Linked DNA regions of Anolis sagrei. The protein of the gene in region 1 interacts with the protein of each later gene in a pairwise test. Links are inferred from orthologs where the notes say so. Each region holds a gene or a part of one and is shown on either strand. Other genes may lie near its edges.

Region 1 (7,043 bases):
AATGTTGGATAAGCAAAAATGTTGGATAATATGGAAAAGCCTATTAAACATCAAATTACGTTATTTTACAAATTAAGCACCCAAACATCGTGTTTTACAACAAATTGACAGAGAAAGCAGTTCAATACATGGCAACGTTATGTAATAATGATCATATTTACTAAGTTAGCACGAAAACATTGCAATGTATTGAAACAGCTGTGAATCCAGGCAGGAAGCAGACTGTTGGATAATACAGAATGTTGGATGAGTGAAGGTTGGATAAGCGAGACTCTTCTGTATATAGGGCCTGTCTGGAAGAGCCCTCATAAAATCCAGTTTAAAGCAGAAAATCTGGGATCAGATCCTGTCTGGAAGGGCCCTCGGTGGGAGGACTTTCTAAAAAAAAACCAAAGGCTTTCTAAAGCAATGAAAGCATTGCTATTTAGACCTTGTTTTCCTGTAAGGCCTCGTTGGCTACCTCTAAAAATATACTCCTAAGACAACAACAGGTTCATGTACTGTAGAGTTAATGCAGATTGGCGCTACGAAAGCCCCTTCTATACTGCCAAACAATCCAGGTTATCAAATCATATAATCCACATTAACTGCTCTGAGCTGGATTAACTGAGTCTATGCTGCCAGATAATCCAGTTGAAAGCAGATACTCTGGGTATTATATGGCTGTGTAGAAGGGCCTGTAAACTGCCATGGCTCAAGGATATGGAATCCTGAGAGCTGCAGCTTGGTGAGAACAGGAAAAAGGCCTCAGAAAACTACAACTTCCAGGATTCTATCGCATCGAACTATGGCAATTAAAGTGGCATCAAACTGCATTATCAATGTAGAAGCACCCTTAATTAGTACTGTCCAAAGGGTTGGTGTTTCTTGCTTCAAAACACAAAGGATAATATGGTATTTATCCACTTCTCCATGGCAGGTCTACACATTTGTGGTTGTTATGTGTTGTGATTTCTAGGGCTGAGTGTGACTTTGCCTCATTGGACTTCCATGGCCAAAGGAGGGATTCAAACCCGGGTCTCCGGAGTACTAGTCAAATGCTCTAACCACAAATTGATACAGTTTTAAGGAGAGAAAATAATAGGAAACTTTATCACTTAAGGAAGGCAAACTGACATTGAAGCCAGGTGATGATCCCCATCCTACAACACCATGTTATGCCACTGCCAGCCTGTCTCTTTTCTGTGATTAACCTGTCATATGCTATTCACTGGAAAGTCTCTAAATAGCTGCCAATAGCTGCCAATCTAAGCCTATTTCTACTTAGCTACTTTCTTATCCTTGGGATCTGAGATAATACATATTTATATTTGTGTAAGGGGCAGACCAAACATATTTATCGTGTAAGGGGCAGACCAAACAGTTGCATTGCATTTTTTAACAAACAAACAAACCACAAAGTTTGCAAGCTTGGTAGTTGATTAAAAGTCCTTTGACCAGTAGCTGGCCACTTGGAGTGCCTCTGGTGTTGCTGCAAGAAGGTCCTCCATCGTGCATGTGGCAGGGCTCAGGTTGCATTGCAGGAGGTGGTCTGTAGTTTGCTCTTCTCCATACTTTGTAGCCCCATTTCTTAAGATTGGCTCTGCATCTCGTGGTGCCAGAGCACAGTCTGTTCAGCATCTTCCAAGTCGCTCAGTTTTCTGTGTGCCCAGGGGGGAGTCTCTCATCTGGTATCACCCATGGATTGAGGTGCTGGGTTTGAGCCTGCCACTTTTGGATTCTCACTTGCTGAGGTATTCCAGCGAGTGTCTCTGTAGATCTTAGAAAACGATTTCTTGATTTAAGTCGTTGACGTGCTGGCTGATATCCAAACAGGGAATGAGCTGGAGATGTCACTGCCTTGGTCCTTTCACTATTGGTTGCTACTTCCCGGCGGATGTCAGGTGGTGCAATACCGGCTAAACAGTGTAATTACTCCAGTGGTGTAAGGCGCAGACACCCCGTGATAATGCGGCATGTCTCATTAAGAGCCACATCTATTGTTTTAGCGTGGTGAGATGTGTTCCACACTGGGCATACATACTCAGCAGCAGAGTAGCATAGTGCAAGGGCAGATGTCTTCACTGTGTCTGGTTGTGATCCCCAGTACATAATAGAGAAGAATACACAATGGAGAAGAATAAATGCTCCTGTTTCTTCCATAAGCTCCATCATATGAGTCTACACTCCTAACATTAATACCAAACCTTATCATCATGATCTGTGCAAACCTAGTGCTGCTGAACTAATCTGAAGGTTGGCAGTTCGAATACGTGGGGCAGGGTGAGCCCTAGTTCCTGCCAACCTAGCAGGAAAGGCAATGACACTCCATGCAGTCATGCCAGCCACACGACCAGGATGTGTCTACGGACAATGCAGACTCCTCGGCTTGCAAACTCTGTTTTGTCTGTTTGTTAAAAATGTAATACAATGTAATACTGACAGGATAAATAAATAAATAGCTTGGAAATTGAGATAAGCACCTCCCACAGAGCCGGAGATGAGCACCACCTCCAGAGCCGGAAATGAAAGGAGAAGCCTTTGCCTCTGTATTTGTGTCATTGTATTTCTTTGTAACAAGATATTGAATGTTTGCCTGTGTCTGTTTATATGCGCAATCTGCTCTGAGTCCCCTCTGGGATTAGGGCGGAATATAAATAAAGTGTTATTATTATTATATTACGCCCCAAAGAACACAGATGGGCCGGCGGGGAAAACAGGGAGGTCTTGTTTGTGTTCCCCGGCGTCTCATATGGCGAGACAGGAATACAAGGCTCTCCGAATCCAGTATTTCTAGATTTAACGACAGCAAGCCCCTGCCACAGCCATCACCGAGCATTTGGCACACAGCACATCATCTTTTACATACCAAACACCGAATCACTCACTCACTCCCTGACTGACAGACGCGAGCCCCATCAAAACAACACCTCAACTACCTTGCCTCCGGCGGGTCGAACGGCGCGCTCGACACTCAAACCTTTCTCGCGATGGTTGCTTGCCGTATCATCGCGAGACTTCCATAGATTCTTTGGGGACGGGAGAGTATAAAGCACGGAGGTCTCGCGAGAAATCTTCCTCTGCCGAGATTTGAGCAGGTTTCATTCACATGCCCCCAGCATTTAAGGACAGTTGGGAAGGAAGAAAGTTTGATGTGGCTGATAGATATTAATTTCAAAAACTACAGGAATATAATGCATATTATTCAAGCTTATACTGGGCATAAATCACAAATAAATGCGACCAATCAGTTTAATTATGTAGGTAAATGCATATTTATAAAGTTGCTAAAGGCCTTAAAGGCTCACCAGTTAAGGAGATCTAAAGTTTTGTTGGAATTTTAGTGTGACCTTGTTTAATAATTTTGATTACATGTATTGATCAGATATTTTTTTCCTAAGGCATATGTTTTATATATTATCTGGATCATTAGTTTTACAGCTGTGTAGTTTAATGTATTATTCCTTCCCTCTGTGCCCCCTTCCACACAGCTGAATAAAATCCCACATTTTCTGCTTTGAACTGGAATATATGGCAGTGTGGACTCAGATAAACCAGGGTTCTTCCACACAGACCTATATCCCAGAATATCAAGGCAGGAAATCCCACATCTGAGTGTGGACTCAGATAACCCAGTTCAAAGCAGATATTGTGCGATTTTCTGCCCTGATATTCTGGGTTCTATGGCTTGGTGGAAGGTCCCTGAGGCCCTTTTCAGACAGGCCCTATATCCCAGGATCTGAAGCTAGATTTTCTGTTTATCCCAGATTATCCAACAGTGTGGATTTATATAATCCAGATTAAAGCAAAAAAAAAAAACCTGGGGTCAGATTCTGGGATATAGGTCCTGTCTGAGGACCCTTCCACAGTCATATAACCTAGAATATAAAGGAACAAAATCCCACAATATTTGCTTTCAACTGGATTATCTGAGTCCACACTCAGCCCTTACGCAGGCTGTGAGCTGTTTATAGACCTCTGAGGGTCTTTCCACACAGTCCCTATATCCCAGGATCTGATCCCAGGTTTTCTGTTTATCCCAGATTATCTGGCAGTGCGAACTCTTATAATCCAGTTTAAAGCAGAAAACCTGGGATCAGATCCTGGCATATAGGGACTGTGTAGAAGGGCCCTGAGTATCAAGCCAGTGCTGAATCACAGCGACAGTTGTGTTCAAGAGTTTTTGTGCATTTTTTAAAAAAAATCCTCTAACTATTCTTTCCTTATCTGAATCCACACTGCCATATATCCCAGTTCAAAGCAGATAACGTGGGATTTTATTCAGCTGTGGGGAAGGGACCTCAGGGCCCTTCCAGACAGGCCTTATATTCCAGGATCTGATCCCAGGTTTTCAGTTTATCCCAGATTATCTGGCAATGCGGACTCATATAATCCAGTTTAAAACAGAAAACTTGGGATCAGATCCTGTTAGGGAGGGGCTGTGGCCTCCCACACATCTGAATAAAATCCCACATTATCTTTTTTGAACTGGCAGCGTGGGCTGGACTCAGATAACCCAGTTCAAAGCAGATACTGTGGGATTTTCTGCCTTGATATTCTGGGTTATATGTCTGTGTGGAAGGACCCTGAGGGGCCTTCCACGCAGCCATATAACCCAGAATATCAAGGCAGAAAATCCCACAGTATCTACTTTAAACTGGGTTATCTGACTCCAAACTCAGATAAAATGGAATGTATTGCAGTATGGACTCAGGGGCCTTCCCCACAGCCCTATATCCCAGAATATCAAGGCAGAAAATTCCATATTATCTGAGTTTGGACTCAGATAACTCAGTTTGTGGGATTTCCTGCCTTGGTATTCTGGGATATAGGGCTGTGTGGAAGGGTCCTGAGTCCACACTGCCATATATTCCAGTTCAAAGCAGAAAGTGTGAGGTTCTGTGCAGCGGAATGGCAGGGGCCCTTCCACACACGGAGGGAAGGCACAGCTCTTATCTCCCAGACGGAGCAGCTGTTTTGAGCTCTCCCGCGGGAAATCGAAACCATCCGGCGTTTCCCAATCGGCAGATTCGTCAAACCTCACTCGCTTGTCAAAAAATTTTTTTTTGAGAACAACGCTCAGTTATGCGGAGAGCTACCTTTAACTCAGCTCGGCCCACCGCTATTAAAAAATTAAAATCTGATAGTATATCCTAGGACGCTTAAGCCTCCTCAAATTGACAGCGGAATCTGCGAAGGCGAATCGGCTGTTGCTTTCCGCGACGGACGAGGAGGGGAGCGTCACTTCCGGTAACAACATACACGGCAACCTCAAGAGCTCCAGCAGGGAACTTCCACCTTTGGCCGCTCGCGGTTTGGGGCGGGACACGAGCGCTTCGCCAGGGCTTCGCCAGCGCCTCCGCATCTCCCCAGACCCTCCTTGTCAAGCTTGGGCACTGACTGGCACAGCACTCGTCGCGGCGGCGGTTGGGACTCAATTTCGGACAGGTAAAGCGCGTTTTCTCTTCTCGCCTCAGCAGCCTGGAGGCAGCGGGAGCCGTTTGGTCTTGGAAGCTAAGCAGGGTCGACCCTGGTGAGCGCTTGGGTGGGAGACCGCCAAGGAATACCAGGCGCTGTGGGCTATATTTCAGAGCAGCCCATCTCAATGTATCCCTTGCCTAGGAAGACTGTGAAATTCATAGAGATTTTATTTTGTTTATTTATTTATATTCCGCTTTATCTCTCTATACTTAAGCCCCTTCCACACAGCTGAATAAAACCCCATAATATCTTCTTTGAACTGGAATATATGGTAGTGTGGACTCAGTTTAAAGCAGATATTGTGGGATTTTCTACCTTGATAAGTGCCCTTCCATACAGCGCTACATCCCAGAATATCAAGGCAGAAAGTCCCACAGTATCTGCTTTGAACTAGGTTATCTGAGTTCACACTCAGATACTGTGGGATTTTCTGCCTTGATATTCTGGGATATAGGGCTGTGTGGAAGGGCCCCTAGTTCAAAACAGATAGTAGTAATAATACAATATTATAATTATTATGCCCCCGCTGGCGCAGTGGGTTAAAGGCCTGTGCCGGCAGGACTGAAGACTTGATAAGTGCCCTTCCATACAGCTTTACATCCCAGAATATCAAGGCAGAAAGTCCCACAGTATCTGCTTTGAATTGGATTATCCGAGTCCACACTGCCATATAACCCAGTTCAAAGCAGATAATGTGGGATTTTATTCCACTGTGTGGAAGGGACCCCAAAATATCAAGGCAGAAAATCCCAAAATATTTATTTATTCCAGGCTGGTTCATCAGGTGCTCCAGCTTACCAGCTGAGGAAACATAACATACAAACAATCTACAAACCCACCAAGAAAATCCAACAAATGCTACGTTCAGCAAAGGACAAGAGGGGTCCTCTCACCTCTGCAGGAGTCTACAGAAAGGAGGAGACCATGAAAATGAACAAAATCTGGCTACCAGTATTAAAAAAACTCTAAAATTACAACAGCAAAACAGCAGAGAGGAAACAACCAGGCACATCTTAACACCGCTCAACAGAACATTTTCCCAGGCTCAGGCAGGCCTTCAAATGCTAATGAAGGTGGTCAGTTGAAACATTCACACCTAGCTTCAGCAGAGAGCTCTTTGCCCCACCCCAGTCATTCCACAGATATATAAACCCATTGTCCTATTTCCAACAGACCTCACTACCTCTGGGGATGCTTGCCATAGATGCAGGTGAAACGTCAGGAGAAATGCCTCTAGAACATGGCCCTATAGCCCGAAAAAAACCTACAAGAACCTAGTGATTCCAGCCATGAAAGCCTTCGACAATACATTTATTTATTTATTTACGGCATCTATATGCCGCCCTTCTCACCCCAAAGGGGACTCAGAGCGCCTTACAATATATATTTTCATACAATATATTATATTATTAGCATAGTAAAATATCAGTATTATATATTACTATATTGTACTATACCATTATATTGTAATATTATTAGTAATATTACATGTAATGTAAATATATAATTCTAATTTTTTTTTGTCGTGTCAGGAGCGACCGCTCCTGTTGTGAGAGAATTGGCTGTCTGCAAGGATGTTGCCC
Region 2 (6,844 bases), on another chromosome or scaffold:
AGAAACTAGATGACTACTCTTTGTTTTTAACTTATTTTATCAACACATAAAATCAACACAGGCAAAAGAGAGTGGAGGGAGGGGTTTCACTCTTGCTGGGAAGCACCGTTGAGACTGTCTGTTATGGCTGTCTGGAGGAGAGGAGCGGCTCAATCCATCGCCGTGCTGTCCTCACTTTCATCTTTGCTCTCAAAGGATGACTCTCCTTCAAGCGCCCAGCTCTGGACTGACTCCTGGATGGCTTGTTTGTCTGCTACAACAAGTAGGAAGAAGAGCTCTCAACACACGCTGTGCTTGATACGGCTTCTCAACCAGCCCCAAATATGCCAGGGAGCCATTTGTGTAGAGGACAGCTGGCCCATCGTTTTGGATTTATTGGCAGAGATCTTACCATGTTCCATCCCCTATTAGATGGCCCTAGGTATCTTGAAACCTTGGTCTCATTTTCAGTCTGTTCCAGGAAATAAGCAGTGGATTTACCTTCACTGGTGCAATTGTCTAGCACCGACAGCAGATGGTCCTGGTTGTAATGAATTAGGAATTTCTGACAGGTGCGGATTGTGGCTGAGAAAGAACAAATCAGCAGTGTGTCAGAAACCATAGATAAGGACTCTTGGCTGAGAAGAAACAGTATGAACCCCTGTGATGTCTTGAAGGAGTAAGTTCTCTGCACTATGCAATTACAGAGCAATTAGTCTCAATTTAATGCAGTGGCTGCATCCTGTGGAGTGTGAGTTTGGCTGAGAATTCCAAATAACTGCCAATCTCCAAATGCCATGGCAGTTAAAGTGAGAGCCAAATGTTGTAACTGCGTACTGTGAAAAAAACCCCAAACTGGTTAATTGCCATAAAGTTGGGGCACACTATAACTTAACCACACAAAGACCAAATGTCAAGGCTTCAGGTGTTTTAATGGGCCAGTGATCATGCTTTTAAAAGGACTTTTTCATCAGCCACCCCAGGACTGTGAAATGACCTGCCAATAGAGCTCTGACAGATCAGCTGTCGGAATTTAGAAACCATGTAAAAACTGATCTCTTCCAGCAGGCCTACCCAGCAAGTCTTTAAGCATGAATGTTAAATGCCTGTCTTGTGTTTAATCTCTGTATTGTGTATTTTAATGTGCTTTAATAGTAGCTTTTATAGAAATACATTTTAATATGTGGTTTTGCAGTACTTTCACAATGTTTATGTTTTAGTTATTCTGTGACCTGCCTCAAGCCACAAGGAGAGGCATAAAATTATTATTATTATTATTAAAAAGAGAACTCACCTCCAATATGCAGCATATTAAATGAACAGGGATAGCGCTGGTTCTTGTTCTCTAAGTGAGTGATAAAAGGCAACGACGACCCAAGGAGCCGATAAAAGTCTCTTCGGCAACATAAGAGGACGATCCCAGTGTAGGCATTGAGGTACTTCACTGGGGGCAGAAATGAGAAGAGAGCAATGTTGCATTGGGCAGGGAAAAAGCAAAGCTTTCCTGAATGGTTTACTATCAAAAGACTCGGAAGATTTTGGGACACTTTGGGCTGCTTGCTTCATTGTTAAGTAGTTGCAGGTTGTCTTTGGTAACTGCACAAAATCGCAGACTATTGGAAGAAACTCGAGAGGAGCTTCAACTAGTTTCTCCTAAGGAAGGAGAGAGCTACCGACCTGAAAAGGCAATGGAGCAGCAGGCCAAGCCGAAGTCGCCATACATCCGGCCCACTATGTTCTTCACTGCACTGTGCACCGTGCGCTCCTCAATGAGCTGGCGGCAACGCGGGTCTTCACACAGTATCTCACAGAGGAAGTACCTGCGAAAACAAAAGGGACGGCCGTCACAGGAACTGAACAAACTAGCTGCATCCACACTAGAATGAATTACTGTTTGGGACCACTTGAACTGCAGTGGCTCCATGCTGTGGGATTCTGGGAGTTGTAGTCTGGCACATTTTGAAAAAGTCTCCCATCTTCCCTGCCAATCGACAACTGTCCTGATTCCATAGCATGGAGCCATGGCAGTCACATCAACAGCATTAATTCGACAGTGTAGATTGGAGATGGGACTCAAGCCTAAACATGGAATCAATTTCTGGTCAATATACACAGAGCCTGAAGGTCATTTTAAAATTATTATTTAAAGGATTATTATTATTATTATTATTATTATTATTATTATTATGTTCATTATGTTTATACCCCGCTTTTTTCTCTCCACAATGCAATGGCAGGGCTTAGAAAAAGTGCCTCACCTGGGTTATATATATCCTGACTGGGGGGTTCTGGGAGTTGTAGTCCCCTCAAAGGAACTTCTCCCAAATGGCCAATGGCTAGATCGAGAAGATGCTCTCCACAAGAGGTACACAAGTAGCTGAATATTTGTAAAAGATTTAAAAGACTTTTTTTTATATTTAAAATTCCCTTTTAAAACTACATCTCCCTCAATACTGTAGTTTACATTATTGTGTAAAACATATTTTATTGGATTAAAAATATATTTTAAGTAATTGCAATTATATTTGGCATGATTAAAAGTGTTACATTGGACACGATTTCAAATATTACATTTGACATGACTTCAAAGTATTTCAAATATTCTATCTTACATGATTTAAAAATATTCTATTTTGCATAATTTTAAAAGTATTCTATTTTGCATAATTTTAAAAGTATTCTATTTTACATGATTTTAATTTACTTTTAAAGCGTTTACAATCTCTAAAACAGGAAATATATTTTTACTCAACTTTTTCCGTCTGCAGTGACCATCAGGCTATATGTAGCTGAAAGAGTCTATGAAGGATATACATCAACTTCATGTTGAGACTTGGGCTACATCTACACTGGATGGTTAACACGGTTTCATCTCGTTTGAAGTGCTCCGGCTCCATGCGGCTCACCTGTTTTTAAATCTCACCATCTCTCTTCCGGAGAGCCAATGCGGCAGCTGCCGCCGGAGAAGGAAAGGCTACAGTCTCCGAGTCTGACTGGCTGAAGCGCTTAATATCCGTTAGGTTTTAACGCCCACTTCCGGAGGACCGTCGTATTCTAACCCTCGCAACTCTATGGGGGGGGGGAATCCATAGAGAAAAGATAGAAGTGACGGAACGCCTCGACTTCCGGGTTTCCTCACGCAGCTATTTCCTTCCTCTGTTGTCAGAGCGAAGGCGAGCTATGCTATCAAGGCACTTGGCTGTTCCGAAGGGGCGGGGATGACTGACGTAACGAGAAAGCCGCCTTCCTATTGGCCCGCGCGTAGCTGCATGTGCTTGGCAATCCTAACAGTGGGAACGACTTCAAAAAAAGTTTCTAAGCCGGCCGCGGCTTTTCTCCGCCTGACCAATCAACACGCGGCTCGCGCGTTGTGACCCCACCTTTCCTTGAGTTTAAATCGGATTGGCTCTGACTACCTATCCGTCTCGCGGAAACGCATTTTGATTAGTTGGCCTGACCGCACGCGCGGGAGGGAGGGCAAGGTCGAGGCTATAAAAGCGACTCTTTTTTTTTTAACCTCAGAAACAGAACGAGCTTGTGAGCCGGTCTTTGTCGCCTTGTGGTCGATAGGGGGAGCTCGCGCCGAGCTTTGAGGCGCCAAAGCGTTTCCTCCCCAAAGACGAGGGAATGCGTATTATATAAGAGCAGCACGATGGTTCTCTCAGAAAAGCAGAAATACAATACAGGGTGAGCATGCCTTACATAAGAATTCAAAAATGCTGCACTCCCAACATTTCATGTGCAAAATTATTTCAGATATTGTGAGGAAAAATACCTCAAGCGAGATGTCTATGAAGCAGGCATGGCATTCACGTCGGGGTGTCTCCACATGGTGGAATTAATGCGATTTTGGACCACTTTTTCTGTTTTTTTTTTTAAATGTTTTAAAATTATATATACATACATAGAGACATACAATCTTCGAAATTCAACAATTGAAGTACAAGTATTTTTCCCCCAATCTCACCACCTCCCCATTCCTTCCTGATAACTGCTACCCTTGACTATTATTTTTATCTATTTATTTACATCACGTATATCCCGCCCATATCAGCCCGCAGGCGACTCAGGGCGGTCTACATATCGGCACAATTCAATGCCATCAATACAATACAAAAGCAAAAACAATTAAGTGCATTTAGACAAAAAAATAACAATTTAAAAAGAGCGATATCCTCTCATTCCAATCCTCATCCGTTTCGTCGTTTTGGCCATTCCTGGGTCATTCTCCATCTCAAGCTTGACTATTCCGGGGTTCCGAATGCCTGCTCGAAGAGCCAGGTTTTCACTCTCTTACGGAAGGCCAGGAGGGAGGGGGCTGATCTAATATCCCTAGGCAGGGAGTTCCACAGCCGAGGGGCCACCACAGAGAAGGCCCTGTCTCTCGTCCCCGCCAAGCATGCTTGCGAAGCAGACGGGATCGAGAGCAGGGCCTCCTCAGATGATCTTAACTTCCTGGAGGGTTCGAACGCATCTCTTCCTACGAACCCTCCAGGAAGTTAAGATCATACCCCGCCCTTCTCCCCCCAAAGGGTGGCCTAACAAAGGCATCATACGATGCTAGCATCATAAAAACAACCACAGTACAATCAAAATATTAAAAATTAAAACAACAATTAAAACTATTAATGAAGACACATCCATTAAAATCGAAATCCAAAAACCAGTCCAGGTCAATTCATTGCCATAAGTTGTGTGATCTTCTTCCACTTGCTGCTCACTGATCAAACGCTTGGTCCCAAAACCCAGTCTTGATTTTCCTTCTGACAGACAAGAGGGAGGTGACCAATCTGATATCTCTAGGGAGGGTGTTCCATAGGCGGGGGGCCACTGCTGAGAAGGCCCTGTCTCTCGTCCCCATCAACCGTGTTTGTGATAGTGGTGGGATCAAGAGTAGGGCCTCTCCTGAAGATCTTAAACTTCGTGATGGTTCATGGCAGGAGATACGTTCGGTCAGGTAGTCTGGGCCAGAACCGTTTTGGTCTATAAAGGTTAAAAGCAGCTACTACTCTTGCTATGCTTATTATAATTGTTCAGTCATGAGGATGGTCTTATTTAATCCCTTATATCTATCTATCTATCCCCTTATTGATTATTGTTTTATTGACTATTCTAAAACCTTTGTGTGGATCATAATAAATTGTGGCAAGTTCTTGGTGGTGTGGGGATACCAAACCACCTTGTCTGTCTCCTGAGGAATCTGTATAAGGACCAAGTAGCAACAGTAAAAACAGACCACGGAACAACTGACTGGTTCAAGATTGGGAAAGGCGTTCGGCAGGGTTGTATACTCTCACCCGACCTATTCAAGTTGGATGCAGAACACATCATATGACCTGTAGCCCCCGGTGGCGCAATGGGTTAAGCCCTTGTGCCAGCAGCACTGAAGACCAACAGGTTAGAGGTTTGAATCTGAGGAGAGTGTGAATGAGCTCCCTCTGTCAGCTCCAGCTCCTCATGCAGGTAACATGAGAGAAGCCTCCTACAAGGATGATAAAACATCAAAAAACATCAGAGCGTTCCTTGGGCAATGTCCTTGCAGACGGCCAATTCTCTCACACCAAAAGCAACTTGCAGTTTCTCAAGTTGCTCTTTGTAAGTCATAACCTGCACCTTGAATTGGGACCAGAAACTTATCAGCAGGCAGTGGAGCTGTATTAATAGGCATTTCATGCACTCCCTATAATTAGCTCCAGTTGCAGTTTCTGGGCCGTCTTCAATGGCAGCCCATGTAGAGTGCATTGCAATAATCCAATCTGGATGTAACCAAGGCATGGACCACTATGGCCAAATCAGGCTTCTCGAGGTATGGCCACAGCTGGTGCACAAGCTTTAACTGTGTAAAGGCCCTCCTGGCCACCACTGACGCTTGGGCATCAAGCATCAGCACTCAGTCCAGGAGGACCCCCAAGCTGCGGACCTGTGTCCTCAGGGGGAGTGTTGCCCTGTCAAGCACAGGTTGCCACCCGATATCCTGATCGGTCTCACGACTGACTAGGAGGACCTCTGTCTTGCAGGATTAAGCTTCAGCTTGTTAGCCCTCATCCAATCCATCAAGACTGCCAGGCACTGGTTCAGGATCAGAGAGGCTTCCTTGGAATTCGGTGGAAAACAGTAGTAGAGTTTTCATCTGCATACAGATGGCACCCAACTCCAAAACTCTGGATGACCTCTCCCAGCAATTTCATGTAGATGTTAAAAAGTGTGGGAGATATAATGGAACCTTGCGGGACCCCTCAGGTCAATGGCCAGGGGTTCAAGCAGGTGTCTCCCAGTGAGTGTGATCCTCCAAGAAGAAGCAGAGCCATTGCAGAGCAATGCCCTCAAGACCCATTCTGGAGAGCTGCCTCAGAAGGATACCATGGTCGATGGTATCGAAAGCCGCAGAGATGTCCAAGAGAACCAACAAGGACACACTCCCCCGTCTCGCTCTCTGCGGAGGTCATCCACCAAGTCGACCAATGCCATCTCTGTACCTTGACCAGGCCTAAAACCAGACTGTGAAGAATCAAGATAATCAGTCTCATCCAAAAATCCCTGGAGCTGAGAAGCTACCACTCACTCTAGAACCTTGCCCAAAAAAGGAAGATTAGAAATTGGCCGGTAGTTGTTCAGTGCCAAGGAATCTAGAGACACCTTCTTTAGAATAGGTCTCACTATTTCTTTTTTAAGGCTCGATGGTATTTGTCCCTGTTCCAATGAGACATTTATAATCCCCGTAAACCACTCAGCTAGTCCCCCACTGGCAAGTTTGATAAGCCAGGAAGGGCAAGGATCTAGCATACATGTAATCGCTCTCACTATTCCAAGGATCTTGTCCATGTCATCAGTCTGAACAAGCTGAAATGAATCCATCAAACCCGGA

Evidence for each region. The genes of interacting proteins can lie anywhere in the genome.
Region 2: the proteins of CEP44 (region 1) and POP5 interact in binary tests that used the Homo sapiens proteins (3 or more experiments, as listed by UniProt). The two-hybrid records come from large-scale screens. The link is inferred for Anolis sagrei from reciprocal best matches to the Homo sapiens genes CEP44 and POP5.

What each region holds. Positions count from the first base shown.
Region 1 is NC_090025.1:61,100,088-61,107,130, reverse strand, and holds the start of CEP44 (centrosomal protein of 44 kDa), read right to left. Parts: upstream 3,020-7,043; 5' UTR 2,919-3,019; intron 2,900-2,918; exon of another isoform or gene 2,849-2,899; intron 1-2,848. UniProt on the Homo sapiens protein: Centriole-enriched microtubule-binding protein involved in centriole biogenesis. In collaboration with CEP295 and POC1B, is required for the centriole-to-centrosome conversion by ensuring the formation of bona fide centriole wall.
Region 2 is NC_090034.1:46,557,662-46,564,505, reverse strand, and holds POP5 (ribonuclease P/MRP protein subunit POP5), read right to left. Parts: upstream 3,016-6,844; 5' UTR 2,906-3,015; coding exon 2,886-2,905; intron 1,800-2,885; coding exon 1,657-1,799; intron 1,424-1,656; coding exon 1,274-1,423; intron 565-1,273; coding exon 481-564; intron 254-480; coding exon 150-253; 3' UTR 20-149; downstream 1-19. UniProt on the Homo sapiens protein: Component of ribonuclease P, a protein complex that generates mature tRNA molecules by cleaving their 5'-ends. Also a component of the MRP ribonuclease complex, which cleaves pre-rRNA sequences.